7 linked regions of the Cricetulus griseus genome follow. The protein of the gene in region 7 purifies or fractionates together with the protein of the main gene of each other region. This does not show direct contact. Links are inferred from orthologs where the notes say so. Each region holds a gene or a part of one and is shown on either strand. Other genes may lie near its edges. The genes, in order: Sap18, Smarcc1, Znf512b, Zfhx3, Top2a, Srrm1 and Chd4.

Region 1 (3,418 bases), on a different chromosome or scaffold from region 7:
AACACATGCATGGTGCTATAGTCAGGAGTGGGTCAGATCCCCTAGGACTGCAGTTAGAGTTGTGAGCCATCATGCAGATGTTGGGTGGGGCCTGGGTCCTCTGCAAGAGTAGCAAGTGTTCTTAAACTGAGCCGTCTCTCTAGCTCTTGCCACCTATTTTATTTTGTTATTTAAGCGAGCCAAGCTTTTCCAACACAAGATGGTTTTTTCAACGTCTTATTCACACACGCCTATAGTCTAATACCACAAACTGACTGTACCATTTTATACAACCCCATGGCTTTCTTGTTCTGCCTCTTGAGGGCTTAAAATGCCCTCATGGTTGAGACTCTGTTCCCAGGTCTCCATTAACTTCACACCTGGGCTAATTGCACACATGTATTTCACAACAGTTTTACACAGAATGCTAAGAGCACTTTTCGTATTTTACAGGAGGACTTAAAACATACAGACTTTAATATACCAAAGTACATCCAACTCTAATTCCTAAATAAATGTGTTACAATTTGCTTAAAATTTAAAGGCTTAATGGCAAGGTTCAAGGGAGGAAAAGATTAAGTTTATTTTACAAACTGGCTGAAAAATAACTTGAAGAAAGTCAATAGAATTTAGTACGGTCTCATCCGTCCTGAAGGAGGTGCTCGATTTGGAGGAGTGATGGCTATGTCCAGATAATCCCCTATTTGGAACTTCTGTGACTGCAGGGTCATGGAGTCATCAGTGCCCTTCCTGCCAGACATGGTGCTGCCAATCTCCTTAACTCTGCAGTGAAGGAAATCAGCCGTTAATAGACTAGAACTGCATCGATGGAACAGTATAGACTACAGAGAACATGAAATGGTCTCTACACAACAGATTTCCAGAATTTAAGCACTACATTCAAGCTAAGCCAGATCTGAATATAAGCCTATAGACACCACCACTAAAGAGAGTATCCTAAAGCCAGGCATGGTATCATATGATATGCCTATAATTCCAACACTGAAGCCTGAAATAGACTGATAACTTCATCTTGTCAGAAAAGGGTCCTGCAAACTCCAGAGAGTACAGAAATAGTAACAAGTCACCTACCGATATCCAGGTCGTTTAAGATCCATAAAAACAATTGCAAAATTGAAGTGTGTGCCCTTCTTTCTGGCTTCTGGGTAGACTTCCTTTACTAAACTAGTCAGTTCTTTCAAGGTTGCATCCATCCTAAGGTTTTTGAAAAGATAATACGATTAATAAACATTAGTGTAACAGGGACATAAAAAACAGCAAGTTGTACATCCTTGAGTTGTATTCCAGGGCCTCACACTATATGAATTACCCACAAGATGGCCTGGCAGGGAAAAGGCAATTTGTGGCACAATCCTGGCAAACCGTGTCAACCCAAATAAAGGTCAGGAGAGTACCAACTCCACAGTTGTCCTCTTGACCTCCTCAAGCATTTCATGGGATGTGGGCAAACACACACAAGTAATAATTAAAAAATTATTTGCCTCTGAATATTTCCTGTGCTGGCCTCAATGCTAAAAATATCAATAACTCTTACTGCAAGAGTTTAAGGAGATTCCCACATAACCACTTCTGAAGCTACACAGCATCATCTGGCTCAGTGATGTACTTACCCACAAGTAACCAGTCCAAGTTATTCAACTGCACAAATTAACTGTTTAATTTCTAAGATATATAATCTCATACAATGCAGCCTCTAAAACTAGAATGCATCTTAGAATCAATGTGCTGGGATAGCATCTTCATAAGGATATGAAATTTCTTATTCTCTAATAGAATCTTGATGGAGGCAGGCAAGAAGGCTTAGCAAGTATCATTGCTTGCTGCCAAGCCCGATGACCTAAATTCGATCCATGGAGCTCACATGATAGAACAGAGAAGTAGCCTGTCCTCTGTCCTCCACACATGTACCATGACACTCCCATACACTACATATACACAGAAAAGTGTAATGAAAATTTGCCAGTGAGATGGCTCAGTAGGTAAAGGCACTTGCTGCACAAGACTGTTGTCCCAAGTTCAATCCCCAGAATTCTTAAGTAAATGTGGAGAGAAAATATCCCAAAAGATGCCCTCAGCCCTCTACAAGTGATGTAGTACTTGCACAGTGCACAACACAAAATAATAAAAAATGATTTTTAAAACTTATGTGGAAAGTTCATTGGGGGAAGGGAAGGGAGAGTGGGGAGAGAGACAAAGACAGAAAACGGCAGGAAGAGAACAAAAAAATGATTTATTTATTTTTTTTTTTAAAGATGGAATGAATCCTAAAGCCAAGGACATGAAATTTTGGGTCCTTTTACAACACAAGCCATTAACTTAAAAATTCTTATCTAAACAGAAACAGAGGAGTGGATGGGGGGGGTGGCAGAAGGCAATGCAAGGAGAGGAGTGAGGGGAAACTGCAGCTGAGATGTAAAATAAATACAACTTAAAAAAACTTCTGAACTCAGAACTAAAAATAGTCTTTTGGACTAATATAACACAATCTAGAACAAAGGAACTGAAAATGTAAACATTTTAGCAATGTTTTAACAACCTCGTTCACATATTGTTTTTGCTCATAACAACAAGAAAAGTGAAATGCAAGGTCTAAACTTAAAACAGCATTTTGTGCAAAGTGCTGGGGGAAAATGGCAGAACACTAGACACTTGAGAATTAGAACACTGATGTAACAGCATCAAGGAAAAGAACCAAAGAGCCCATTGCATTTCTACTGTGAACTGTACAATCAATTTCCACACCACCATATTCAAATACATGGAGTGAAAATACCAAAGATGACCAACCACACTGTCCTCCATTTTCTATTCCAAATATTTCAATATTCCTGTAATAGAATTTGCTCTTCCAGAACATGCCCTTCTGCTAGTCCAATTTAATTAAAAAAAAAAAAATACCACCACCCTAGTTAAAGCTGTCGAAGTCAGGTTCTTGTTCCCAAGTTCTTGTTCCCAAGCAACGTACTACTGAGCTACACCCTCAGCTCCAATCTATAAACTGCTGTGAAGTGCCACCTGTTGTCACCTCTAGGGAAGGGTCTCACTGCATGAACAGTACAGCCCAGCATGCCAATGCCTGACACCTGATAAGTCCCAGTCTGTCAAGCTAATAAGTGACTTATAGGTGTCATAGTCACCAAGAAAGACATTACTTGTATTATCATACTTTGCTCACAAAGATACAAGCTCAGCAAAGGCTCACCCAAGCTGGCATTCCTCCATTGCTACAGGCATGGCCACCTGTTTCCTCCCCACTGGGAACAAACAGAGCAGTGGTAAACACAGTTAAGCAGAACAAAGAAGTATGTATACAAACCAAAAACAGGAAAAGATATTTCTAGAAATAAGCTGGAAGGTCTCCCTTATCTTTTGCCACGGCAATGTTCCAGACCAAAGGCCATTTTATGCATTGCAAGAA
Region 2 (4,295 bases), on a different chromosome or scaffold from region 7:
CACACATGAATGGAAATGATTTAAAAAAAAAAAATCAAGCTAGAAACAAGCCTAAGCTAAGGCCAAGAATTCACATTCTCCATGATTTGGGGGTCAGCTGTGCAAGAACAGATTATTAACGTGAGTATTAAAAATACAGAATCTCTATGAGTGGAATGAAGAAGTCAATCTCAGCAGGGCATTGGTGGCCCACGCCTTGAATTCCAGCACTAGGGAAGCAGAGGCAGGTGGAACTCTGTGAGTTCCAGCCACGCTGGTCTACACACAGTGAGTTCCAGGACAGCCTCCAAAGCAATAGAGAAACCCTGTCGAAAGAAAGAAAGAAAGAAGAGAGAGAGAGAGAGAGAGAGAGAGAGAGAGGGGGGAGGGGGGAGGGAGGGAGGGAGGGAGGGAGGGAGGAGGGAGGGAGGGAAGGAAGGAAGGAAAAGGAAAGAGTTCAATCATGTAAAACTTGTCAGATATGAGAGCAAGAGACAGTTAAGTTCTTTCAGAAAACCCAAATTTGTCAACCAACACCCACGTCAAACTGTTCCTAACTCCCTCTAGTTCCTCCTCTGGAATCCAAGCTCAAACTGGCACGCATTATACACCTGAATAAAAGTAACAAAAACCTTGAAAAGTAAATCAATCGGCACAGGATCTAAGGCAAACATTTACCTCATCACAGCACACACGTCTCCAGTCAGGTTTCTCCGACAAGCAGTACTGGTCAAATATTCTTGGGGGTTTAGACGGTATGTGTCAATCATAAAATTTCGATATGCCAAGTATCTAAAAATATTCCCAAAGACATAAAATGACAGCAATATTAAGCAGCAACAACACTGATATTGTACTAAAATATTAGTAATTCAAATGAGTTCATAACCAATAAAATGAAAAACAAATGTTTACCACATTGTAACAACACATGAGGTAATTTGAACACTACCTTTGGTTGCTAAGCACACTGTGAAGTAGCTCGCTCACCTAATACCCAGAACCCTAGTAAAATCAGGTTCATCATCCCATTTACACACAAACTGAAGCACAGAGCACTTGAAGACCTGTCCTAGACTGAGGGCTGGAAAGTGAGAAGACCACATCTCAGATCTATGTTCATAATGGGTGACCACTCTTGCTTTCCACCCAAGGACATGGTTATGACACATCAATATACTTTCTCAGGGCATTCCATTCAGGGAGACTTAGCTAGACAAACAACCAAAGAGAAAACAAATCAGGGCAAGACCAAAGCATACAAAAGCAAGAAAAATTGAGACTAAAAGTCACATAAGACTCCACAGAATACTGTAGCATTTCTGCCACAATTGCTTTTTAAAACTCAAAAATGTTGGGGCTGGAGATATGACTAGGTGGTTAAGAACACTGTCTGCTCTTCCAGAGGACCCAAGTTCAATTCCCAGCAACCACATGGTGGCTCACATCTGCCTGTTACTTCAGTTCCTGGGGATCTGATGCACATAAAATAACATTAAATGAATTACTTAAAAAAAAAAAAAATCAGGAACGTTAAGGATTGTGACATCTACCAACAGGTTCCCTTGCCCTGCCCCCCAAGACAGGGCTTCTCTGTGTCATCCTGGCTACCCTAGAACTCATTCTATAAACCAGGCTGGCCTTGAACTCAAAGATCTAACTGCTCTGCTGGGATTAAAGGTGTAAGCTATCACAAGTTTTTGCATACATTAACAAAAAAATTTTGCATGTCAAAAATGAAAGTCTCACAACACATGTGAGCAGCTATGTAGGAGCAAAAAGTCAAAAATTTCAAAAAGGCTACATACAGACCAACCATGGGCATACAAAAATGACTGAATTTACAAGACAAAAAGGCTAAAATAGAAAAGTCTAATTTTAAAGTATGACTCCCCAAACACTTAAGGGTGGAAAACAATCTGGGCTTTAAATCCCAATCTGGAATTTGGTAACTCGAATACAGCCCTTATTTCTGACATCAAAGCACTGTATTCAAATTAACATGGAAAAATAAAACCATAATATGTTTATTGTTAAGTGCATGTGGGCCCATGTGTTTTATATGGAAAAGAATTTAAATCATGTCTTCCTAAAACAGGGTGATCACAGGACACTCTAACTTTGCAAGTACACACATGCAATGGAAATAGAGTCATGTTCCAAGAAAGGAGAGCTGTGAATTAATTTCAGAGATAAAACATTCAAGAAGTTGGCCAAGCACACCTTTGATCCCAATCAGGAAACAAAGGCAGGCGTGTAACTGTAGTTCTAGGCTAGCCTGGTCTTCACAGTAAAGCCTATCACAAACAAACAGAAAAAAGTAGAATAAAAGCTAAACAAACAACAAAAAAACATAACTTCCAGAAATATATAACATTGGGTCACACGAACAAGACAAATATTTGTTCTGATAAGCAACTTCCTTCCAGTTTTTCCTAATTCTATTGCAAAAGCAAATGCTTTAGAAAATTTAACTCAATTCAAATGCAATTGAATGAGAATGTAATTAGTAATAATTTACCATGGGGATAAAGATTTCATTCCCTACCAGACCATTATATAGCTATAGAAACATTAAAAGTGACTATTACAAACTTCAACTAAAATTCATTTACTAGATTCAATATTTAAGTGCTAGAACTGATACACATATCACCTGAGGTTTAGGAAAAACTACACATTCCTTTAAAGTTAAAATGATGCAGAAGTAAGATACACATAATTTCTGAGTGGTGCACACTATTTGCTTATTAAAAATAAAAAAGTAAAAAACAACCATGTGAGATTGTGTTTTTTGAATCAAGAGAGGCAGGGAGAAGGCCGAGTGGTTAAAAGCACTTGCTTCTGATTTTGCCCAGGACCAAGATTTGCCTCATAACCTTTAACTCCACCTTCAGGAGACCCAATGCACTCATCTGGACATCACATTCACTGCACATACATGGTACACATGAATACGCATGCAGGCAAAACACTCATATACAACAAATCCATGCTAGGAACATAAAAAGTTCGATAAACACTGGGCTCACATTTCTGGAGTCTTGGATTTGTTTTTTCCATTAAAAAACTCAGGAAGAGCACGCCGTTCAATCACATGAATACTGAAAGAAAAGAGGTACGTAGGTTTACATTGTTTTTTGAAAAAGAAATAAATCTTAAAATGAGTTCTGCATTATCCAAGTTTCAAAGGAAAATTAATAAATCCAAAAACTATAGCCAGGCATTGGTGGCGCATGCCTTTAATCCCAGCACCGGAGAGGCAAAGGCAGGCGGATCTCTGTGAGTTCGAGGCCAGCCTGGTCTCCAGATTGAGTACCAGGATAAGCTCCAAAGCTACATAGAGAAACCCTGTCTTGAAAAACCAACCAACCAAACAAATAAATAAATCCAAAACCTGAGTACTTCTTACTAAAAATAGTTTGACTGAATAATTTCCTTTACATTTAAGAGGAAACAACACAGTTAAAAACTTTTGTGTTTTCTACCCAAAGTATATACTGTAGTTTCTATTCCCTAATTAGCTGAAAAACTTCCGCTGGGAATAGTGGCTCAAGTCTGTAACACCAACAATTGAGAGAGTCAATATTGACTGAAATCGTGGGGTAGAACTCAATGTCCAATCTCCAAAAATAAATAAATAAAAGACCAACTATGAGGACAATAAAAATTATATATTGTATTACTTCCTCTTTATACTATTACAACAATAAAGGCACAAAATGAAAAGATTTCTAAGGAAAGTGGCTAACAAAGATCAGAATACTAAGTATGGTCACACAATGTAGTCAGTCAAGAGTTGGAATTTATAATAGTTATTGAAATTCCTAAACACCAGTTTGTCTTCTTCTAGCCCTCAGAAACTGTGATGAACTAAAATATCTCTCAGGGATTATCAGATCTTATTAAGTAACTATATATAAATAAATTCAATAATTTAAAAACATTCTTTAGGTTGGAAGTACTGTAGAGCCCAAGAAAAAATGATCAGGCTTAGCAAACTCTATTTGAATCAACTGTATATCCAGATTTCTGCTATAGATGTGTGTGTTTGTGTGTGTGTTATGTGTGATGACATCTGAGTCCCAAAGAAGGCTTTCCAGAGAGAAATCATGTTAAGTATTAGTTATATGTGACAGAACATATCAATGATCTGTGAACAAAGCTGATTGGTCCTTCCATTTTCTTCATCTACATTTACGATGTCATATGGTGGCTGTCCACAGAGACGTCTCAGTGACAAAGGATCTTGCCACCAAATATGCCTTCAATCATCTAAACATATACTGATGCAGGAGAAAAAAATTCCAGCAAGT
Region 3 (4,932 bases), on a different chromosome or scaffold from region 7:
GTCACAAGCTTGGTGACGGGCATGTGTTTGGTGAGTGGCACAGGTTTGGTGATTGGGATGGGTTTGGTGACTGGCACAGGCCTAGACACTGGCATGGGCCTACTGACTGTGACAGGCTTAGTGACTGGCATAGGCCTGCTGACTGTGACAGGCTTACTGATGCCAATGGGTTTGCTGACTCCCACTGGTTTGCCAACAGTAACAGGTTTGCTCACTCCGATGGGCTTGCTGACCCCAACAGGCCGGTTGATGGTGACTGGCCGGCTGACCGGGCCAGGCTTGGGGGTAGGCAGAGGATGGTCCATGTGATTCCAAATCCGGTGCTTCTCCAGCTGGGTCTTGGAGGTGAATGCGGCCTCGCAGAAGGGGCAAGGGAAGGCCAGCCTATCTGAGATAGCGCCCTGGGCAGGGAGGGCAGGTGTGGGATGGGGCCCCGGGGGCCTCTGCCCAGATGCACTCCCAGGCCTCCTCTTCCCCGACCCACAGCCCCTTACCCCTTGGCACCGCTGATAGTGGTACTTGAGCCCGTAGATGCTGGGGAACTCTAGCCAGCACCCTGAGTTTGGACACTTCACTCTTGAGTGTGCCTTGAATTCATCTTTCCATTGGTTCATCAGGGAGAACTGGATAGAGGAAAAGGTCAAACTGCTGATTTGCAGCTACCCAGATTCAAAGGGCCCCCAAACCAAACCCTTTAAACCTCAAGAGCAGATCAAGTATTCAACCATGCTGCAGGCTACTAACATAGCCCACTGGGGCCTTATATGGGTCAGATGCAAGGGCCCTTGGCCTCATGCTGAAACAAGCTGGCACAGGATGTATTGTGGGTAGGTAAGGGCAGGGCAGTGGCCTTCACAGGCTGAATAGTATGAGCAGCACCTCCCAGCCCCACCCTCAGGGAGCTCACAGGAATATCTCGGAGAGCCTGATTCTCGGCTTTCGGCCTCCCTTTTTTCTTCCCTTCTGTCCTGTCACTGGCTGGGTTTCCGGGGTCAAAGCAGAGTGAGGCCTGGCTAGGCACTGTATGTCCACTGTGAACCACTGGCATACCTACAGCACAGGAGAGAGCAAGGCCCAGTGGATACATAACACCACCACCTCCCATGGGGCAGCAAGTCCAGACTGAGTCTTGGCTTACCCATACCAAGGCCCAAGGTACCTAGGACAAGAGTTTAAGACTCAGGCTAACAATATCCACCCCAAGAAAGTCCTCAGGATATCCAAGGAGGTAGCCTACTCTACCACTGGCTATCTGTACCCTCTAGAATTGATTTCTGCCATGGCTCCTTACCCAGCTTTGGTGGGTCTTGCAATATGGGAAGCTGGACATCCTTCCGGCTGCCACTCTTTCCAGATCCACTTTTGTTGGACCCTTGAAGCCGGCGGCCTCCTCCAACACAGAAGGATTCAGTCATCTCTATAGAGCAAGTGCACAGACCTATGAGCTAAATGGGTCTAACTCAGGGCTTTCATTGGAACTATCCTTGAGGCCCACAATAGGCCTCTCTACCCCATCAAAAAGGATGTAATCGGGGCTTCTAACTCAAGGAAGGGGGTCTGCACAGACAAGATCTGTTTAAATAACTGACAAGGCATGAGCAGTGTGGAAAGAGCTGAGACTCTTTGCTATATTTGACACACTCATCTCACCATCATCTAGACACATGGTACCACAGTGTGCAAAGGATCAGGTGGGGCTTGTGTTCAGAAAGGGACTGTGCAATAGGAAGGAGACTGATAATATCCCTCTTGGGGGACAATTAATTCAAAAGCAGCCATGCCATGATGCCTCAGGGACACCTTCTCCTTAGGGCCCTGGCCTCTGCCCCTCCAGATATGTGATACTAACTTACCCAGATGAGCACCCTTAAAGACCTCTCTATGGACACAGAAGACAGCCAACGTGAGAGTTGAAGGCCTGCTTCCCCACCACATGCACCCATCTCTCTGGTGGGCAAAGTGAAGACCCACTGGAACTCCATTTTGGTCCCCATGCTTGCTGAGCCATCCTACCTGCCTGTCTTCTCAGCCTTCTGTGTAATCAGAGCCCCTCCACCCAGATGGAGGCACTGGTTCGGACTCTGAGCCACCACAGGCTAGCAGGCCACCATTGCTTGCTATTCTCAATAACTTCGAGATTACTTGCCTAGTTGCCCACTTCGGCTAAACAAGTTATAGCCAATACTGGCCCAAGCTTCAGAGCCTGCCAGGCTGAAGCACAGAGCATGCTGGGGGTGGGGGGGTGTGAGGTTCAGGGACCTTTTCTGCTTGGGACATCTCATACCCTGAAAACTGAGGGGGGCTCTGACCATAGTTATGTGGAGGCCTCTCAGAGGTACCCAAAACCACAGAAGGGGGCGGTACCAAAGAGCAAGGTTCAAGCAGGGGAACCCTCTCCTGACAGTTTGTGACCAACTCAAATCAGAGGGGATATGTAGGCGCTGCTATATCCGGGAGCGCTCAGGTTAGACGTCAGGTCAGCCACTGTCCACTGCCAAAGGCAACACCCATACTGGGCCTAGGGGAAGGAGGGGAGGGTCTTAAACCAACAAGTTCTCTGGGTGTTCTCGTTTTGTAGCTTCAGAAAGAAACGAGTCATCCAGAATCCTGGTAACATTTGCGGCCAGGGGCAAAGGGCCTGCTGCACCCTTCCAATCTGGTCAGAGATCAGAGTTAGGGGTAAGGCATGGTGGTCGCCAGAGTAGAAGGAAAATCCCTCCACCACCTGGGGTCCCCAGGATCTCGCTTATAGCCTCCGGGGAAGGGGGCGCCGCCGCGGACTCAGGCCACTCTCCTGGTCTGGCGAGCGCTGCCAAGACGAGCACCTGAAGGCCCGTGGCCACCCACCTGTCACCTGAGGCCGGACACGGGCTGCAGCCCGGGCCCGGAAGCGCCGACCGCGGGGGGGCGAAGGCAGTGAACCAAAATGGCGACTTTTTCTGGAGAAGGAGGAGGCGGGAGGACGGCGCCGACGCGGGGAGCGGGGCGCGGCGCGGGTCCGGGCGCGGCGGGGAGGCGGGCTGAGCACACGCCTGGTGCGGGGCACGGGCTGGCGCCGGGGCCGCGGTAGGGCGAGCACGGCCAGCGCTTACCTGCAGCGCCCAACGGGTGCGGCCGGGCCAGGCCGGAGCCGGAGCCGGGGCCGGAGCCGGGGCGCGGGGCGCGGGGCGCGGGGTCCGGGCGGCGCACACTCCGCGCCGTGCTGCGCACATGCGCGCTCCCGCCCCTCCCACCTTTGACAGTTTTACTGCGGGGGGGAGGGGGCGAACTCTCGCGGTATTCACGCGGCAGCCGCTGCGGGGAAGGGGCCAGTGGGGCCTGCCTGTGCCTCGAGGCTGTGAGATCCCTATCCCCGGTGGTACCAGCACCAAGAGGCCTGTCAAGCGTGCCTAAGGCAGGAGTCGCTTTGTGGACAGTCCAGTAAACTGAGGCATGTCAGGAACTCTCTGGACACTACAAATTCTGTCTCACAGATTAAGCAACCTGTCTGGTTGCGCTAGCTGAAGTAGACCCTATGAGGAAAGATTGCCGTTATAGGAACTCCATAGACTGTCAGTCAGGGTGCGCCCCAGCCTGTATCTGTCCTGGTGGCCACCTTAGTCAATCTACACTCTGTAAAACCATTGGGCTTTATTGGGATTACTGGCTATTGAATCAACTCTCGTCGTTGTGAACAATGGTCCTAGACCAATGGCTAGTATCTAGCTTCTCTGGCCAGAGAGAGCCTGGGCTGCTAGTGTCAGATCTGGGGGTAGGTAATGACACCCCAACCCACAGGATTTGGGAATAAATGAAGCAGAGAGAAATAAACTCTCCTTTGGCAGATTGGGGAGGGGAAGCTGGCTGGTAAAGAGGTAGAGTGAAAAGACTGGAACTCCACAGGAAACCCAGGGATACCCTGTATTAGAGATAAGCTTTCATTTGTTCAGGAGGGAAGAGAGGAAAATTGGGCTTTCATTTGGTGACCACAATACTGTCGTCCCAGCCCCACTCTGTGTTTTGAAAAAGGGTCTCACTGTGTAGCCTCTGGCTAGCCTGGAACATACTTTGTAGACAAGGCTGGCATAAAACTCAGAGAACTGTCTGTTTCTGCCACCCACATGCTGACATTAAAGGCACTTTCCAGGGTGTGGAATGTCAGAATGTTGGTAGCAGTCAGTGTGCAGACTGAGATACATTCAAGGTTGTTACCTTTCCCTGTATAAATCTGAGTGTTCACAACTGTGATGTGCCAGTGCCCACAGGTTGGTATGTGTCTTAAGTGACCATGTGTATCAGGTGGCAGTTGTGTGTAGGCATCACAACATCATGGCATATCTGCTTGTCCTGTTGTAGATAAGATTGTTTGCCTGTGTAACTAGATGTCAGGGTGTGTGGGATGTGTGTAATATGTTCAGGTTATGTACGTCCATGTGTAACTATGTGTCATGATTTAAAGGGCTGATTATTTTAAAGATTTATTTATTATGTATAGTGTTCTGTCTGCATGTATCTCTGCAGGCCAGAAGAGGGCACCAGATTTCATTACAGATGGTTGTGAGCCAACATGTGATTGCTGGGAATTGAACTCAGGAAATCTGGCAAACCAGCTAGTGTTCTTAGCCACAGAGCCAGCTCTCCAGTCCCAAAGAGCTGATTTTTAAACATTTGTGTGTGTGTGTGTGCACAGTGGCCAGAAGAGGGCATCAGATACCCTGAAGCTGGAGTTATAGGCAGTTGTGAACTGCCTAAAGTGGGTGCTAGGAACTCAACTCTGCAAAAGTAACAAGTGGTGTGTTTGTCTTTTGTTTTGTTTTGTTTTTTGGTTTTTCGAGATGGCTTTGGTTTTTTGAGAGAAGGTTCCTCTGTGTAGCTTTGGAGCTTGTCCCAGAACTTGCTTTGTAGACCAGGCTGGCCTCCAATTCACAGAGATCTTCCTGTCTCTGCCTGGGA
Region 4 (4,729 bases), on a different chromosome or scaffold from region 7:
AGTTCTTTAACTCAGAGAGAAAGGATTGGAGAGTCACAGCTATGCTGTGATTTCTAACAATAACCATTACAACCAAATTCTCATACCAGAGCCTGTGGACAACCGTATGAAGTTCAAGATAATGGAATCTGCCTTCCTGTTGTGTTTTGATGGTACCGCCCCCATACTGGTTAATTACAACAGCCTTGGGAACCAGAGTAGGCCAACAGGCCCAAACATTACAGCAATCGGCCAGCCTAACAGCAAGCAACCATTTTAATCACAAATGAAAGCAAAAACCACAGCACATACTGTACTCCTTGAGGTTGCTACAGCGAGCATCAGGTGCATTTATTCTTGCAGTGCTGGCCAGCCAGGAGGTGGGGCTTAGACAAGCTTCCGCAGCCAGACTCCCCACTGCCTCCCCACTGAGGAAAGACTCAGGGCCTTAAGCTGGGAAGCAAGCTAGGAACTCTTCCAGGCATCAATGCAGACAGCAGGCAGGAACAGCAATTCCACACATTTTGAGAAAACACTGCTTAGTCACTTAAATATTTACTTTTAAAGATGAAACTTTTGGAACTCCCCAGTAAAACTAAGTTGCCCAGGAAGGCATCTGTTTTGGGCCCTCAAGCATTCCTAAGCTCTCACACTGTCACTTCCAAAGCCTCCAGAAGATACACCAAAAGGAACAACAGTTCAGACATGGCACATGTATATACAAACACGCACACATCAGCAATAAGGACATAGTCCATGAACACCACATGTGACCAAAACTTCAGTTTTAGTTCCTTTAAGAACCAGCTAAACCTCCGTCAGCATGAGCAGACCAGTTCTATCAGTCTGCATTTACAGATTTATTCTAATAAATGAACCCCCTTTTGGGTTGCCCAAAGTGAGCCAGGCCTGTCCTGGAAAAGTATAAAAGCCACCACTTTTAAGTCCTAATGGTGAAGGCTGAAATCTCACGTATTTGAGCTCCTTGACACTAGGAAGTCCAATTGGCACTAAGTTTACATGGCAGTTAAATCCAGTCCCAAAACAGCAAGAAAGCACTTTGCTGTCTGCCTGGAAGTACCGTTTTCTTTGGGCCTTTCCACATTCCCTTAGCATTCACTTGTGCAAGGAAACCAAAATTAATGTTTTAGGTGATTGGCAGTTGCAGCTCATTGTTTTTGTTGTTTTCAGAGCCAGCAAGTTCTTGTCAATCAAAACAGATTTTAGATGTGGAAAACCAGAGTTCCATCCCACAGACAGCAAGTATACCTACTGGGTGGGGTGAGAGGGAGGCAAGTGACCCCTGCCATAAAGACAGAAAGTCTTCAAGGCACTTAATTCCGTGCCGTTCCAAAAGAACTGCTTTCAAAGTGTACAAGTGCTTGGTTCTGCCACCGACCCCATGTTGTTAAATAACACTTGTGTAATTAAATAAAAGACCCAGTGTGACCCCCAGCCAACTCTGAGAGCCACTTTACATGTCTTCTGAAAGCCATACTGGAAATCAAATGCAGACAATCTCTTTTGTCCTGTGACTTAGAAAAGAAAGGGGTAAAGTTGCTCTTGGCCTTCATGGCTGCACACTCTCTACAAGGGAACCTTCAAGAACCCCTCCAAACTAGATGAACACAAATACAGGTATGCAAACATACAAGCATTTACCTCTCTCCAAAGACCCCATTCTTGAAATCCTTCAATGATTAAGAATCTTGGTCTCCAGATCACTCATAACCGTTTGCTATGTCTGTGATTTAGAATCTCAGGCTGCCGGTGGATGCTGTGATAACAAGAAACAGGCTCCCAGTTCCCTACTGCAGCCTGTTACCTTGGAAGGGCTATGCTTTCCTATTTAATGTAGTCTGGGCCACAGCACTCTAGCCCATCCCACTGGAACTCGTGATTTTTAGGGTTTCCCTTGAAAGCTATCCAGAAACCACAGCCATTAAAAGAACATGAAGGTTTGACACCTCCTGAATTTAGGAATGAGGGGACTCTAGGGGCCAACTCTACAAACTTACACCTGCTGCTTGATGGCAAAGAAACAGTTACCCCCAGCTAGGGTGAGCTTCAAATTATACTCTATTTATTTAGTGACTCGTCTCCAAGGATCTCAAAGCATGAAATGAAGTAAGATGAAGATGACGTGTAACTTTCTCACTATCTCTCTTCAAGGATTAAGTCTGTTTGCCTTGCTGTTCCTTGATGCCTTCGACCAAGCAGGCCCTACTTGGCCAGAGCCTGAAGAAGAGGCCTTCCCTGGGTTCCAGATGGGAAGTCTATACTCTCTATGGTTATGTGCCAGTGCTTCAAAGGCTGACAAATGGCACAAATGCAAAGGGTGAAGTACCCTCCTGGATTCACCTGCTCACCGGCTGCCTTTAAACCAGTTTGGCATACCGGTACCACTATGTCAGGCTGTTCAAACTCCTTTGAGTGTATCATGTATGGGCTATGTATGGGCTTTTCCCTGAGGGCAAGATCCCTCATCATCATTACATAGATATGTACAAGACAGGGCTGTTTTCCAGAAAGCTTGTTTCTCTCCAAGCCTAAAAATTACTTTTGAGTTGACATTTTTTTTTCTTGTTGCTACCCTAACTTGGACACCTCTCATCTTTAACTGGGTAAAAATCTTACCTCTTCCTTCACACCCCCCCCCCATAGCAAATAAATGCTGCACGGGCTCTGACAGGAGAACAAACCAAAATTAGAGGGCGGCCAAGATGATCTCCATAGGTCCCCTCCAGCTCTATACTGATTCTCTCTTTAATTACTCCTCAAACAGGCACATTCTTCACATTGCTGCAAACTGACCAGCGATTTCTAACTCTCTCTCTCTCTCTCTCTCTCTCTCTCTCTCTCTCTCTCTCTGTTGTGTGTGTGTGTGTGTGTGTGTGTGTGTGTGTGTGTGTGTGTGTGTGTCTGAAGAGGGTATGTTCCAAACGAAAGAACCCGAAGTTCTCGGTGGCACCAGCACCCCAAGTATTAGGAAGGTAGGAACTACCCCAAAAGCAGAATGAGGAGGAGGTCTGAGAGGAAAGCGAGAGGGGATAGAAGGAACGTACTCCCGCGCCCAGCAGACTCTAGCCACTCTCTCCCCAGGTAGGTTCCCACTGGAGTCTAGGAGTTCAAGTGCATCCAGCCTGCCCTTCCCCCACATGCCCCAAGAGAATGGGAAGTTCAGCCAAGACTCGCAGCACCTGCCTCCAGCGCTAGGCCGGCTGCGAGCCGCGCGGCGGGGGAGGGAGGCTGCACTCACCTGGCACACAAAGCCTCCGTACACCTCGGGAGGAAGGAGGCACTCGGAGGTCCGGGGGCCACCACTCCGGCCTGTGCGACAACGGGAGATTCCAGCGGCAGCGGAGCCCCGAACTTACCCACCCCAGGCGGCATTCTCCCCACCTCCCGCTGCCCCCCGGGCTCAGCGGTGGCGCAGGCTAGGAGCGAGGGGCCTGGCGGCAGGGGCGGGGCGCGCATGGTGGCGGCCCGGGCTGGCGATCTTCGGGCTGCCCGGGGAGGGAGGTCCCCCAGGCGCGGCGGGGATTCACCCACGGGGCGCGGCGCTGCGTCCCGGTCCCCGTCCCGGCCTGCCCGCCTCTCTCCTCCTCCTGCGCCGCCCGCCCGCCCGCCCGGAATCGCTTTATGTAAATGAAGCTCAACTCGCAGTTTGCAGCGCGCACCGCCCGAGGAAGGGGGGCGGGCGGGGCGGGGGGCCTTCGGGGATCCACATTACACAGCAACAAAGCGGAAGGTTAATTTGAAACTCACAGCCCCGCAGCCTCTCGGCTCCCCGGGCAAAGCCTGACATCTACAGTCGCGCTGGGCGCAGGCCGGACTGCTCACGGTGGCCGCGCCCGCGTGCCTGCGGGGACCTGGGGACATAACACACAGAAGCAGGGCCGAGTCTGCTGGGCCCTGGCTCCCAGCACCGGCCTTGGAAGCAGGCTGGGCCGCACTCGCCTGGGGACAGGAGCCTTGGCTGCCCCGGCCTACACCAACCCGGGAACCGGCCCGGCAGGAACAAAGCCGCGTCCCCGAGAGGCACTGACCGCACCGCTCATCAAAAGTCAAAGGCCGGCCTGGAAGAAACGGACGCGCCCTCAGCCACCAAAAAAAAAAAAAAAAAAGGAAGAAGCAGCAGTCCGGGCCTCCGAACCCTGATCCATCAGTCTCTGGGCCCTGTCCACGTCAGAGCCAGGCCACTCTTAACAGGAGACTCTAGCCAATGTGGACAGGAATTTATTTGAAACACACACCCATCCTATTAACTGCTTCACAGAGAACTTCTGTTTTTCAGCTGCAGAAACTTGCGAAAACATCCCCTACTCTCCACTGAGAGTTTAAGGACAGTTTTTGAGGAGAGAGGAGAAAAGGAGAAGAGAGGAAGAAATGACTAGAAAAGGACGAGCAGTTTGCAGCCACCCGATTTAAGGAAGGAGACTGCCCTTAAAAGCCACACAGCATTTCAGATAGGGCAAGAAAGGTGCTGGTCTCAGGGGGAGTCTACCACCAGGATCAAACCGAACAAGGCCACCTCAACTGGTGCATCTGCTGGGCACTTCTAGGTTCCCCTAACTTCACCTTTTACATCCTATTATGTAAAGGCAGGCCCCTTGAAATCTCACCGGAAGTCTCCAGTCCTCTCAGACAGAATTCCACCCTCCTCCTAAATCTAGTCTTCATTCTCAGCACAGAAAGAAAGACACCTGCTTTTTCTCTTTCAGAAAACCAGCCACCCAGGCTGCCCCTG
Region 5 (4,295 bases), on a different chromosome or scaffold from region 7:
ATAAAGATGACTGAAGAAAAATTAGCAGAGGCAGAGAGAGTGGGACTACACAAAGTCTTCAAACTGCAGACTAGTCTCACTTGCAACTCTATGGTATGTCTTATTTTGTAAGAGATACATCTTTAAAAACTAATATTGTTGGCATGTGGGTCCCCTCTAGTAATCCTAGTGATCTGAAGAAAGAGACAGGAGGATCACTATGAATTCCAAAGCTATCTTGTGCTGTATAGTCTCAAAAGGAAAGGCTGGAGAGATGTCTCAGCAGTTAAGAACACTTAATGCTTGTTCTCAGCACTGGGTTCAGTTCTCAGCACCCACATGGCAGGCAGTTCACAACTGTGTGACTCAGTTCTGAGCGATTCAAGGGCCTCTTTTGGCCTCCATGGGATAGTGCTCTAAGCACAGGTTGCAATACAAACATGCAGGCAAACATCCATTGATGTAAAATCTTTTTTCAGTAATTGATAATTGATATTTAACGGGCATTTCTGATAATTTTTATAAAGGTTATGCAATTTATTGATTCAAAGCTTGAGTCTTCTTTTCTTTTCCAGGTGCTTTTTGACCATGTAGGTTGCTTAAAGAAATATGACACTGTGTTGGATATTCTAAAAGACTTCTTTGAGCTTAGGCTTAAATATTATGGATTAAGAAAAGAATGGCTTCTGGGAATGCTTGGTGCAGAATCTGCTAAACTGAATAATCAAGCTCGTTTTATATTAGAGAAAATAGATGGCAAAATAATCATTGGTATGTAAAGTGTGGGCTAACTTTCCCTAGATTGTTTATTGCTGTTTGTAGGGTTTTAGTAGTACTTGGGCTCAAATCCAGGGCCTTATAACTTGCTAATTGTGTACTCTGTGTTAGCCTTACCCCCTAGATTGAGCATCTAAAGAAATCAAGACTAAATGTTTAGATAGGGAAGAGACTAGAGAACTAAAAGACCTGTGTGGGGCTGGGGTGTAGCTTAGAGTGGTAAAATGCCTCCTGACATCCACAGGGTCCTAGGTCCAACTCCAATAACTACATCAACTTCCTGTGGTGGCACACATCTGTGTTCCCAGCACTGGGAACAGGAAGCAGGAGGGTTAAGGCCGTCGTTGGCTCCGTAGTGGATTTTAAACCAACCCCGAGTACATGGGATCTTGTCTGAGAAAAAGACCTTGTATAACTAATTGATCACAAGAAGAAACAGTAGTCTGATCTTAAAAGAAGACTGAAAAAGAGGCAAATCTTAGGGATGTTTGTTTTGTTGGAAAGTCCATAAAAGAAAAAAAAAAGAATCTTGACTAAAGCTGGGTGTAAGAATGAAGCTCAGGGGCTGGAGAGATGGCTCTAAGGTTAAGAGCACTGACTGCTCTTCCAGAGGTCCTGAGTTCAATTCCCAGCAACCACATGGTGCCTCACAACTATCCGTAATGAGATCTGGTGCCCTCTTCTGGTGAGCAGACATGCACACAAAACAGAACGTTATATACATAATAAATAAGTAAATCTTTAAAATAAAGAAATAAAGCATAGGCTAAACGGTGGTGTCACACACCTTTAATCCCAGCACTGGGGAAACAGAGGCAGAAGGATCTCTTATGAGTTTGAGGCCGGCCTGGTTTACAGAGTGAGTTTCAGGACAGCCAGGGCCACATGGAGAAAAGACCTTGACTAAACATCAAGTTCAGTGACAATGAGTGGTTCTCTGAAACTAGTGACTTTGACAGTCCCTCAAACCATAATTGGCTGCAGCAGACACTGAGAGAGGGCCATGTTGTGTGGTGCTGTAATTAAGAACATCAAGCTTTGAACAGATTGCTAGAGCCTAGACCAATGAAACATTGAAAGAAACGCCAGAAAACATAATTGAGTCAGTCACAGGCTCTTCAGAAATGGAGGCTTTGACTCTTCTCTATTCTTTTGAGAGAGAGCTAATAGATTTCAGCCTCACCTATGGTTTAAATGTCTCCTGATAATTCAGTTTTCCTTGTTCACAGAAATTTGTCTATGATCTGGACAGAAATAGAGGCAAAACATAGACAGTTGAAATTCCAGTTTTGTGGGTTTGTTTATTTTGGGGTTTTGTTTTTTCAAGACAGGTTTTCTCTGTGTAATCCTGGCTGTCCTAGAACTCACTCATGTAGGCCAGCCCTGGAACTCATAGTTCCACTTGCCTTTGCCTCCTGAGTGTGAGATTAAAGGTGTGCACCACCACCTGGCTTGAATTTTCCAGTTTAATCTTTCAATGTAATGTAGAAACACCTTATCCTTTTTCGAAAATTTTGCTCAAAGTTTATCTCTCTTTTTTTTTTTTCAACAGAAAATAAACCTAAAAAAGAGCTAATTAAAGTTCTAATTCAGAGAGGATATGATTCAGATCCTGTAAAAGCCTGGAAAGAAGCTCAGCAAAAGGTAATTTCTTTGCTAGCCACTTGCTAAGCTCCGAATATGTTCATTCTATTTATCTATTGGCTATGACATGCATGCAGGCAGAGCATCCATATACATAGAATAAAAATGGGGAGACTTTTTAAATTAAAAAATGTAAAATCTGTTTTCTTGCATTTCTAGAGGTCACAAGTTAAAAAAAAAATCAAGGACCATGTATGTTTATATTTCATATTCTGTATTTTAATTCATCCTTTAGGTCCCAGATGAAGAAGAAAATGAAGAAAGTGACAATGAAAACAGTGACTCTGTAGCAGAATCTGGACCGACTTTCAATTACCTTCTTGATATGCCCCTTTGGTATCTAACCAAAGAAAAGAAAGATGAACTGTGCAAACAAAGAAATGAAAAGGTAACTTGTAGATAGACTGGAATGGCCGGTTTAATATCCTTTTGGTGGGGAATAAAGTAAGCTGTTCTGTTTAAAAAATACTATTTGTACATATTTACACTCTCAATTTTTTGGTAAAGGAACAAGAGCTCAACACATTAAAGAACAAGAGTCCATCAGATTTGTGGAAGGAGGATTTGGCAGTTTTTATTGAAGAACTGGAGGTATGTATTTATAAAGCCTATATTAATACTAGTAGACTAGCAACATGCCCTTTCTTAAATATGTATATTTCTTATGTATATGTGTGTTTGTATGTTGGGGAAGGTGTGGGTAAATGCAAGTGCTCACAAAAGCCAAAGGTGCCCATCCGCTGGACCTGTAGTTAGTTACAGGCAGTGGTGAGTCACCTACTGTGGGTGCTGAGAACTGAACCTCGGCTAGAGCAGTAAGGTCTCTTAACCACTGAGTACCTGTCCAGCTCAAACAGCATCCCTTTTTATCAAGAAGCTTCATATTTAATAAAAGAAGAGATATAAAAGGAGAAAGAATATATCCCAAAATAATAAAAAGGCAGGATATGGTAAGTAGCCACTTAGACAGTACACCTATAATCTCAGACTAAATTTGAGGCCTGCCTGGGCTACCCACTGAGTTCCAGGCCAGCCTGAACTATATATGTAATGTACTAAGACCCACTCAAAATGCAAGTACTACAATATAATTGTAGAGCACTTGTCATACAGGTGCAAACTTTTGCCCTCTCTGCTTAGCACTTCAAAAAAGAAAAACATTAAAACACATTAGGCAGAGCATGGTGCACATGCCTGTAATTCTAGCATTTGAATGGAAGATGAATTGAGGGTCATCTCAGACACAGGGACTTAGAGACCATGCTGCACAACATGAAAACAAAAACAGGAGGGCAGGTGACTCAGCAGGTGAAGCACTTGCTGTACAAGCCTGGTAACCTGAGTTCAATCCCCAGAGCTCAGGTAAGGAGGAAAGAGCCGACTCCACATAGTGGTCCTGTGGTTTCTATGTGCTTGCTGTGACGTGCACATGCACACACATACAATAATGATAATATATTTTAGAGAGGGAAAGGAACAGGTTATTAAATACTAGTTAGCATAAAGTAAGTGATGGCAAGAAATACACTAAATCAGTATTTTACAGATTAAAGAGAGAAAGTTAAGTCACTTTTAGAGGTGGCCCCTCAGTTTCAGAATGTCCTTTGTCACTTAAATTTCCTTAGTAGTACTTAGTTTTTTTGATATTACAAATATATAGCTTATCCTATAGAACAGTTTCCTCTTTGTCTTTAGAAAGATTAAGTGATGACATTAGACATCAGTTAGACATAGGCACCCAGTTCTCCTGTCTCTGCCTTCCTAAAGTCATCCACATCGTACCTTCACTACCCTGCATTGGACCTTCACTATGGCTGATCATGGATTTATCTTAAATTGTAAAAATGGAAAGTTTACTTAACTATGCTTTTTAGGTGTGATGTTCTCCTCACCTA
Region 6 (4,295 bases), on a different chromosome or scaffold from region 7:
TGGGATGCCATGGCAAAATAGCAAACTATGTTATAACAAATGTTTTAAAACATCACTTGTATTATCTTGTATCATTTCATTTGGAAGACAGGAACAATTATGTTAACTGGCTTGAACAGGACTGTCTGTTCATCTGCCTCAAGTTTAACTAGAATGTAAACAAAATCCTGCGCCTAAATTCTAAGTGGTAACCAGCTGACTTGCAACTACAGCTGAAGACTTTAGCTCTTTTAAAAACATCATCCAATCAAATCAGAATCGCCCCTCATGCTTCAAATAAATGTCCATCTCAAAAGCTACTTTAAAGAGCAGTATACAGCTTTACCAATTGCTCTTGTTTGTGTTTTGTTGTTGTTGTTGATGTTCGGCCACTTTACACAACTCACCTCCAAACACACACTGCGTCATCAAGGGAGTTGGGTCAGAGCGACATTGGGACACTCACTCTGCTGTGACCTAATAAGGTGATGGTGCTATACTTCAGACGCAAGGAATAACTTCCATTTTGGTTCAGGCCTTTTAAATCATAAATCACATTATCATTAGAAAATTGCTGTCAAAGTAACTTAACATGTAACAGCAAAATTACAAACAGTAAGTTTGATTTTTCACCTGTGTAGCTTTTCAAAACTATGTACCTTCACTAAACTTCCAGCCTTAACAGTTGTTTACAAAGTGAATTCTTTTCACAACAAACATTGTAAAATAATCCTTCTATATTTGTATTCCATAGAAAAACTGAGTTTCCATAGATTCACAAATTATGTCACATATTCAGAAAAAAGAGCCATCTGTATATTAGTACCTTCACTTCCAGCTGGTTGAATATAAACTCAATCACAACATCATCTTCAAATCCAAGGATTTCAGTTACTCTTTTTGTTATCCAAGGCTTTATAACCTCCAAATTTACTTTGCTCATGTCCACCTGATGAAACATGCAAACCATTAGTTAAGCACAAGTTCACTGCAGTAAGAACCCCAGTTATACTTTATCTAAATATTTCTCTTAGCTTGTGTACATTTAAAAAATGTTCCTTCCATGCTCATTCTTTGGTTGCACTCTGTATGTGGTGGCAAATGTGCAACCATGAATTCATCCACTCACATTTTACACAAGAGTTACAGTTCATCTCCCAAACCCTAAAATGCAACAACTGCTACAAAAAAGGGGCATGGCCCCCACCCAGAATACCTTTTTTTCTAGGCATTCTGCAAATTTCAGCTGCTTGAGGAGTTTCTTCTGTTTGTTGCTGAACCGATTATCCTGCTCCGCACTTGTTCCCTGAAGGAAACAAACACATGTCCTAAGAATACAAGATTAAATTTTCCTTTTCTTTTTCAAAAAATAGTGCACACATGTCGAGGTCAGAGGACAACTCTGGAGAGTGGGTTCTCCCCTTCCAGCATGTGGATCCCAGGGATGGAATTCAATTCATTAGGCTTAGCAACAGGTGCCTTCACCCACTCAGCCACCCTGACAGCCTTAAGAAAAATCAAACAGTGAACATGTGGTGAGTGCTCTCTATGAAGTAGTAGCTGCTGTCATGGCCAAGGGGTTTGATATACCAGGACTAAAACCCGTCCAAACGATGTAATCCTTAGGGTTGGAGACTGTTTTTTTACCAAAGTGGCCATTAGTACTGTTTGCTTTTTAAACACTCAGGTGGATACAAAAGTAGTAGAGGAATTTTCACAACTAAAAAGAAAAGAAAAATAAAGTAATTTAAGACCAGCATGGTCTACAGAGAGTTCCAGAACAGTCAGAGTAGGTACACAGAGAAACCCTGTCAATACTCCCCGCCCTTCTTGCACACACACAAAAATCTTAGCTTCTTTTGTTAGCTCAGGCCAGCCCTTAAACTAACAGCAATTCTCCGGTCTCAGTTTCCCAAGTGGTGGCTTGAATCCCCATACTGGTGATTACAAAATTTAAAAAAACAAAACAAAAAAAACTTTATTAGTTTCCACTTATTTTATTTAGTTATGTTTGCACACTGTTCCCAGCTCCCACACACAGTGGCTGGCCTGAAACTCACTATATGGATCAGGATGGCCTCCAACTCAGGTATCTAGCAGCCTGGAGTAGAGCTGGGATTCACAGCATGTGCCAGCAGCATGGCCTAACCCTTCGCTCTTAGGGCCTATGCCTAACTTCCCACCACACTGACGCAGTTCTTCTCACTTCATTTCCTTTACCACATTATAACGCCCTTCTAGTTTTCGGGGATTTTAAAAAATAGTTGTCTATATTATGTCTGAGCCATAGCTATTAAATTCTTTAATAGCAAATAAAGGTTGTGACTTTTAAACACCATAACTAATATTCAGATATAAGATGCACATCCTTTTCTAAATGCAGCTGACATATAAGGCACCTATATTTTAATATTATTAATGTACATCCTTAACAAGTAAAACATAGTAACATTCAGAGTAAGACACCCTGTCTACATCAATGTTAAGTTTGACTTGTGTACTTCTGCAGGTGTTTAAATGAGAAAACTGAAATATTTCAAGTTTTATTCTCTTCCCAAATAGTAGCACTGTTTGCAAGAACACCCCAAGACTACAATGCTTCAGCCTGGTGTAACTTTAAAAATGTGGAGAGAGGCAGGCAGGAAGAGTTTGGCACTGAGGGTAGCCTGGCACACAAATTCCAGTAAGCATAGCAAAACTGAAGGCTGGAGATATACACCTCCGTGGTGGCAGTGTTTACCCAGCACGCAGGAAGCCCTGAGCTTAATCCTAACACTATATAAACCAGGTATGGTGGTGCCTGTAATCCTAGCACTACGGATTTGGAAGGTCAGAAGTTCAAGGTCATCTTTAGCTCCACAGTTTGAGAGAGATACAAGAAACCCAGTGTGTTCCAGAGTTACATGCCAAGGCCAAAAATGTGGGACACAGTAGTGCACACCTATAATCCAAGCACTGGGAAGTTTAAGAAGACCAGAAATTCTCAACTACTCTGTTCAGGTCACTGATTCTTTCTCAGAGAGGAGAGGAAAGAATGGGGTTGGGGTGAATTATTGAGTTAGAAGCCAGGTGAGGTGTCGTGCTTCTGTAATCCTAAAACTTCAGACAAGAGCAGAGGATTGGGGTTCAAGCCAACCTTGTTACATAGCAAATCTGAGGACAGCCTGGACTACAATGAGACTCTGTCTGGAGTCCATGAAAATTAAACCATCAAAACTCAGAGCAGGAAGGCAGCAGTAGTTCCTCCAGGCTCAATTAAATATGGAAGTTACTGGCTCTCCGATTTGAAATCTACGGACTGGCTTGCTGGCTGGCTACAGTTCCTTGGAAAGTGATCAAGAAAACTTTTGTTTGGGCTGAGAATATAGCAGAGTGGCAAGAGCAGTTAGCTAACATGTAGAAAGGCCTGGGCACAGTCTCTAGTACTGTAACAACAAAGTTATTGGTTGGGTATGATATCCTATCCTAGCACTCAGGAGGCAGAGACAGGAGGGTCTCTGAGTTGCAGGTCAGCCTGGTCAACATAGTGAGTTCAGAACCAAACAGTTTTGTTTGAGAAGGTAAAACCCTGCAGTAGTTAGTATGTCAGCTCTGCAAGTACTCTACCATGTCCCGAGAACACACAACCTAACCCTCTGAGGATGTTTTTGTGTGCAAAATCAGGGGCAAGGAATCAAAAATTAAAGCTGAATGTCTGGGGTGATAGGTATACTGATTATCCTCACCCGATCATTACATGGCAAACCTGCTACAATGCCACACTATAGCCCCCAATTATGTGTAACTACTGGATGCCAGTCAAAAGGTCAAAGCTACCAGGCTGTGGTGGTGGTGCACACCTTTAGTCCCAGCACGTGAGGCAGAGACAGGTGGATGAGTTCCAGGACAGCCAGAACCACAGAGAAACCTGTTCTCAAAAACCAAAACAAAATCCCTATTAAAGTACCTAGAAAGTGATCCAGAAAGGCTATAGCTGAATGGTTTAACACTTGGCTAACACATACAAAGCCCTGGGCATGGTCCCTAGTACTGCAAAAACAAAAAAGTTTTAAAGAAAAAAATGTTTTGGGCTAGGCTGGGCAGTGGTGGTGCACACTTTTAATCCCAGCACTCAGGAGGCAGAGGCAGGCAGATCTTTGTGAGTTCCAGGCCAGCCTGGTCTACAAGAGCTAGTTCCAAGACAGCTTCCAAAGCCAGAGAAACCCTGTCTCAAAAAACCAAAAACCAAAAAAAAAGAAGGAAAAAAAAAAAAAAGAAAAAAAGGAGTGGTGGCCTACAACTTTAATCTCAAGGTTGACTCAGGAAACTGGTGATTT
Region 7 (4,295 bases):
GACCACAGCTGCCTAGGGGTCCCTTCAAGGGGGCAGCTCTACTCTTTCCCCTGTCCGTTTGATCACCTACCTGTGATTCCAGTAGCCCTGCTTGAACAGGTCATAGTCCTGGATCTCCACATCCTCACTCTCCCAAGATGCCTGATCATAGGGTAAGTCTCGCCACTTGATTAAGTAGTGAACATGGCCCTTCTTGTCCACACTACAAGGTCAATAAAGAACAACTCCTCAGAGCCAGAAAGCAACTTTCCTCACCTCCCCAGTCAGTCTTGCTCTTAAAAACTGACAAAACCATTCTAAATGTGCCAGACTCCACATGTATTCAAAGCCTCAATGATATCTGTCTCTGGACCACTAATCTCTAACTTATGCTCTCCCTATGGGCCAAATTCCAGGACTCGGTCACTGAATTACAGAACCTAATTACAGAGCCTAAGTCACTGGCGATGGCCATCTGCTAATTCCTAACTCCTTTAGAAAGAGCCCCTAAGTACACCACCTCCAGGGAGCCAAGCTGGTACCTGTGGTTGAGGATTCGGTGGATCATCATCCACTCCGGCTTTATTCCATAGCGATAGAAGCGCTCTTCCATCTCTGCAAACTTAGGGTCCTTGTTCTTTCGCTTTCGGCTCTTCTCTTCATCTCCACCAAAGTCCCCAGAAGGTGGCTCATCCATATCATTCTTCCGCTGGTAGTTTCGGAACATCACCTGACAGTGCAGCTCCAACTGGGAGGGGGAAGAGAAAGTAAACCACCCTGAAACTCCATCCAGCCCCTACTCACAAGGCTGTTTTCTCAACACCTCTGCAGTATCACCCCACATACACAGCCTGTCCCAGGCTCACCTGCAGTTCTGATACCCAGGAGCAGTGCCAGTAAGACATGCCTTGCCATTTTACAAAGAACTGTCTCTCTGGCCGCCCCTCCAGGGGTTTGGGAGAAGGGGTATTAGGATCAGCATCTGGAGGCCGAGGCACTGGTGTGGGAGACGGCGGCTGGCCCCACTTCCAAATCAGGATCTTCTGCACTTTGCCCTTAAGAGCTGGACACTGAAAAAGAGATCACTTTATCTCAAAAAGCTGCACAAGGATGAGAACATGAGTTCAAATGGCCAGCATTTGGCAAGATGAAACTTGCTGGTCTTCCAAAGGAACAGCATTTGATTCCCAGCATTCCCATCGTGGCTAACAGTAATTTGTAACTCCAGTTCCAGGGGATCTGAAACCTTCTCTCACTGAATACACACTGTGTCTACACATACAGTCAACAAAAACACCCATCATAAAACAAAATTGCCAGCACCCACACAGAAAGTCACACAGAGTCATGCACACCTGCAACCCCAGTGCCATGGGAGCAGATGAAAGGAAGGATCACGGGAGCCTGCTAGCTGCCAGCACAGCTTCAGGTTTAGTAAGACTTGTTAATATTCTTTCCAAAGGAATAAGGTGGAATCATAGAGTAGAACACTGCTCCTTTCCTGGCCTGGGTACACAAGAGGCCTGGATCCCTGCACATACATGTGCATGCATATACAACACACACAGACAGTTTTTTTGATTTTCAGCTAAGTCTCACTGAAGAGCCCTAGCTGGCCTGAAAGTCAATATACAGACCAGACCAACCTTAAACTCACAGAGATCTGACTGCCTCTGCTAGAATTAAAGGAATGTACCATCATGCCCAGAAAAATAAAAATTAAAAACTACAGAGAGCCTGATGACCTAAGTCTTTGATGCCAGCACTGGGGAGGCAGAGCTGTTAACTGGAGACCTGCCTATCTGTTTTACACAGTGAATTTTTTTTTGGGGGGGGGGGTTCAAAACAGGGTTCCGCTGTGGCTTTGGAGGCTGTCCTGGAACTAGCTCTTGTAGACCAGGCTTGATTCGAACTCACAGAGATCCGACTGCCTCTGCCTCCCGAGTGCTGGGATTAAAGGCGTGTGCCACTAACACCCAGCCAAAAAAATGTGTTTTAAATAGTTATATAAACAAATTAGCAGACAAACCCAAAAATCTTGTCAATGAGTCATTAAGACTTCATTCCAAATAAAAAATAACCCCATAGGCCGGGCAGTGGTGAGTTTGAGACCAGCCTGGTCAATAAGAGCTAGTTCCTGTCTCGAAAAACAAAACAAAAAAATATATAACTCCATGACCTTCTCTAGGTAAACAACACTAGAATATTCTCTTCCTTTCTGGACATCATCACAGAGCTTAAAATAAAAAGCCAAGGAGCTATACAATAAGCAATAACCCAGAATAGCTGGGCATAGAAAATCCACAGACCTAGAGCCAAGAGATTCCCTGTCTCAAGCAACCTAAATGCAATAGACGGGGTCTCAAACAGTCTAAGCTATCAAGAACTGAGGTAATACATCAAGACTGAAGTGAAGCTGTAACCTGAGCTTTTCTTCTGATACTCAGTAAGATGAGAACGATGGTATGAGTTCAAAGCCCACTTGGGCTACATAATGAGCTCCTTGTCTCAAAAATAAGTTTATTGTAGCACCTGTATATAAGAGCTGTTATAGGACCAACCTAGGTGTTGGAGAAAATGTAGTATATTAATAACAATGCAATTTTTCAGCTATAAAGAATTATCATTTACAGGAAAATAGGTTTATGACAATCATATAGGCAAATTAAGTCAGTCTTAGACAAGTTTTCTCTAATCTTTGAGTCCTAAACTTACAGACACATAAAATCATGTATGCCAGAGGACATAAAAGTAGACACAATATTATTGAAGAGGAACAAAGGACTGACAGGAAGGAGAAGAAACCTCAATGCAACAGGCAGGCAGGAGGCAGTGGCAGGGGAATCTCTGTGAGTTCGAGACCAGCCTGGTCTACAGAGTTCCAGGACAGGCTCTCCAAAGATACACAGAGAAACCCTGTCTCAGGAAAAAAAAAGAGGAAATTCCTGTCTCAGCTAGAAATGTGTAGGTCTCCAATGATTTCTCCCGCCCTCACTGAAGTCACTTACAGTACAACGGGGACAGAGCCATTCGCCATTTGGGATCTCAGGCAGTGGGGGGTTCAGGCAGTGGATATGGTAGGAAGAAGGGCAGGTGTCACAGCATAGTAGCTCCCCGCCATCTTTGCAGACTCGACAGAACTCCATATGGTGGTCGTCTTCCTCTTCTGGGTCTCCCCCAACCTCTTCGAGAATTTCCTCACCCTCAGAATTGTCCTCTTTAGCTTCCCACTGGATGCCCTCCTTCTCCTGCAATAAAGAACCAGAGATCAGATTATTACCACCCCACCCCCACCCCAAGCCAGCACCTACTGTCCCTTTACATGTTTCCCAAAGCTGACAGCCATTTCTATTTCTATCTAGGCCCAAAGAAGCTCACCCCCGACCCTTGCCCTAAGGGGTGGGTACCCAAGTACTCACACAGTGTGGGCAGCTCCACTTGCCCTCGGGGGCCTTCTCCATGTCTGGGTCCAGGCACACCATATGGTAGGCTCGGGGACAGGTATCACACAGGATGATCTCACCGCCTTGCTGGCACACCTCGCAATAGTCCTGGTGGTCTGTCTCATAACCATCCACAGCAGTCACCTCCTCCTCGCCTGGGCAAGGAAGAGGGAAAGCCCAATTATTAGAACAAAACCACCTCCCCCCAACCCTTATCTCCTAAGGGAGATTCTTCCCTGGCCATTCTCACCCTATCCCATTAAACCAAAATACAGAAAAGAAACACACCTTTCTTTTTCTTTTTAGTGGTCCGGAGTTTCTTGCGGCTCCGACTACTTCGGCTGGTAGAACCATCCGAAACAGAGTAGCTATTGATGCTGGCATCATCGAAGTCAGATTCCACATCTAAGTCATCATCCTCACTCTGGAAAAAAAAAATAAGAAAAAAAAAAAAAAAGGTTAAAAGCCCAGGCCAAGGAAAGAATGGTGAAGAATCCCAGCAAGAATTGCAGAGAAGGAGCGTAGTCACACCTGCCTAAGGCAGTAAAATACCCCATTCTCATGTACCCAACAGAAGCTCCCTCCTTCCCCACTGGGATGAACCAGGCTCTCACCGAGGATCTCTTCCGCTTGGAGCCAAAGCCTCCCAGCTTGATTTTCAGAGGAGCTACTTTCTTGGGTTTGGGCTTCTTGGCATCAGGCACGCGAGGGCTGCCTTTGGGCTTCCTTCGAGCATTGGGACCTAAAGCCAGTGCACAGCCAAATGTATATTACAAGGCAAGTGATGGGAGAACAAAGTCTTCACCTAAGTTTTGCTCTACTCTGCCTTATCTTCTAAATCTGAGGTTCACTCCTGCATCCTGCTGCCTACCT

Evidence for each region.
Region 1: the proteins of Chd4 (region 7) and Sap18 purify together in Homo sapiens (affinity purification with mass spectrometry; 3 studies listed by BioGRID, with this or other methods). This does not show direct contact. The link is inferred for Cricetulus griseus from reciprocal best matches to the Homo sapiens genes CHD4 and SAP18.
Region 2: the proteins of Chd4 (region 7) and Smarcc1 purify together in Homo sapiens (affinity purification with western blotting; 6 studies listed by BioGRID, with this or other methods). This does not show direct contact. The link is inferred for Cricetulus griseus from reciprocal best matches to the Homo sapiens genes CHD4 and SMARCC1.
Region 3: the proteins of Chd4 (region 7) and Znf512b purify together in Homo sapiens (affinity purification with mass spectrometry; 4 studies listed by BioGRID and IntAct, with this or other methods). This does not show direct contact. The link is inferred for Cricetulus griseus from reciprocal best matches to the Homo sapiens genes CHD4 and ZNF512B.
Region 4: the proteins of Chd4 (region 7) and Zfhx3 purify together in Homo sapiens (affinity purification with mass spectrometry, with the first as the bait; 3 studies listed by BioGRID). This does not show direct contact. The link is inferred for Cricetulus griseus from reciprocal best matches to the Homo sapiens genes CHD4 and ZFHX3.
Region 5: the proteins of Chd4 (region 7) and Top2a purify together in Homo sapiens (affinity purification with mass spectrometry; 3 studies listed by BioGRID and IntAct, with this or other methods). This does not show direct contact. The link is inferred for Cricetulus griseus from reciprocal best matches to the Homo sapiens genes CHD4 and TOP2A.
Region 6: the proteins of Chd4 (region 7) and Srrm1 purify together in Homo sapiens (affinity purification with mass spectrometry; 3 studies listed by BioGRID). This does not show direct contact. The link is inferred for Cricetulus griseus from reciprocal best matches to the Homo sapiens genes CHD4 and SRRM1.

Annotation. Positions count from the first base shown.
Region 1 is NW_023276807.1:212,950,525-212,953,942, reverse strand, and holds part of Sap18 (histone deacetylase complex subunit SAP18), read right to left. Parts: intron 1,195-3,418; coding exon 1,072-1,194; intron 763-1,071; coding exon 609-762; 3' UTR 1-608. UniProt on the Homo sapiens protein: Component of the SIN3-repressing complex. Enhances the ability of SIN3-HDAC1-mediated transcriptional repression. When tethered to the promoter, it can direct the formation of a repressive complex to core histone proteins.
Region 2 is NC_048597.1:217,639,562-217,643,856, reverse strand, and holds part of Smarcc1 (SWI/SNF complex subunit SMARCC1), read right to left. Parts: intron 3,084-4,295; coding exon 3,012-3,083; intron 772-3,011; coding exon 658-771; intron 1-657. UniProt on the Homo sapiens protein: Involved in transcriptional activation and repression of select genes by chromatin remodeling (alteration of DNA-nucleosome topology).
Region 3 is NC_048599.1:320,091-325,022, reverse strand, and holds the start of Znf512b (zinc finger protein 512B), read right to left. Parts: upstream 3,240-4,932; 5' UTR 3,093-3,239; intron 3,068-3,092; exon of another isoform or gene 2,848-3,067; intron 1,418-2,847; 5' UTR 1,416-1,417; coding exon 1,292-1,415; intron 1,051-1,291; coding exon 908-1,050; intron 624-907; coding exon 495-623; intron 402-494; coding exon 1-401. UniProt on the Homo sapiens protein: Involved in transcriptional regulation by repressing gene expression. Associates with the nucleosome remodeling and histone deacetylase (NuRD) complex, which promotes transcriptional repression by histone deacetylation and nucleosome remodeling.
Region 4 is NC_048596.1:185,043,070-185,047,798, reverse strand, and holds the start of Zfhx3 (zinc finger homeobox protein 3), read right to left. Parts: upstream 3,371-4,729; 5' UTR 3,239-3,370; intron 1-3,238. Other genes in the region: spidroin-2-like, read left to right, coding at 3,455-3,623, 3,794-4,029.
Region 5 is NC_048600.1:112,078,642-112,082,936, reverse strand, and holds part of Top2a (DNA topoisomerase 2-alpha), read left to right. Parts: coding exon 1-93; intron 94-554; coding exon 555-750; intron 751-2,308; coding exon 2,309-2,400; intron 2,401-2,635; coding exon 2,636-2,788; intron 2,789-2,907; coding exon 2,908-2,991; intron 2,992-4,295. UniProt on the Homo sapiens protein: Key decatenating enzyme that alters DNA topology by binding to two double-stranded DNA molecules, generating a double-stranded break in one of the strands, passing the intact strand through the broken strand, and religating the broken strand.
Region 6 is NC_048595.1:17,923,096-17,927,390, reverse strand, and holds part of Srrm1 (serine/arginine repetitive matrix protein 1), read right to left. Parts: intron 1,286-4,295; coding exon 1,196-1,285; intron 929-1,195; coding exon 806-928; intron 520-805; exon of another isoform or gene 387-519; intron 381-386; exon of another isoform or gene 1-380. UniProt on the Homo sapiens protein: Part of pre- and post-splicing multiprotein mRNP complexes. As a component of the minor spliceosome, involved in the splicing of U12-type introns in pre-mRNAs. Involved in numerous pre-mRNA processing events.
Region 7 is NC_048601.1:21,323,451-21,327,745, forward strand, and holds part of Chd4 (chromodomain-helicase-DNA-binding protein 4), read right to left. Parts: intron 4,165-4,295; coding exon 4,037-4,164; intron 3,847-4,036; coding exon 3,711-3,846; intron 3,578-3,710; coding exon 3,399-3,577; intron 3,228-3,398; coding exon 2,988-3,227; intron 1,050-2,987; coding exon 846-1,049; intron 728-845; coding exon 522-727; intron 203-521; coding exon 71-202; intron 1-70. UniProt on the Homo sapiens protein: ATP-dependent chromatin-remodeling factor that binds and distorts nucleosomal DNA. Acts as a component of the histone deacetylase NuRD complex which participates in the remodeling of chromatin.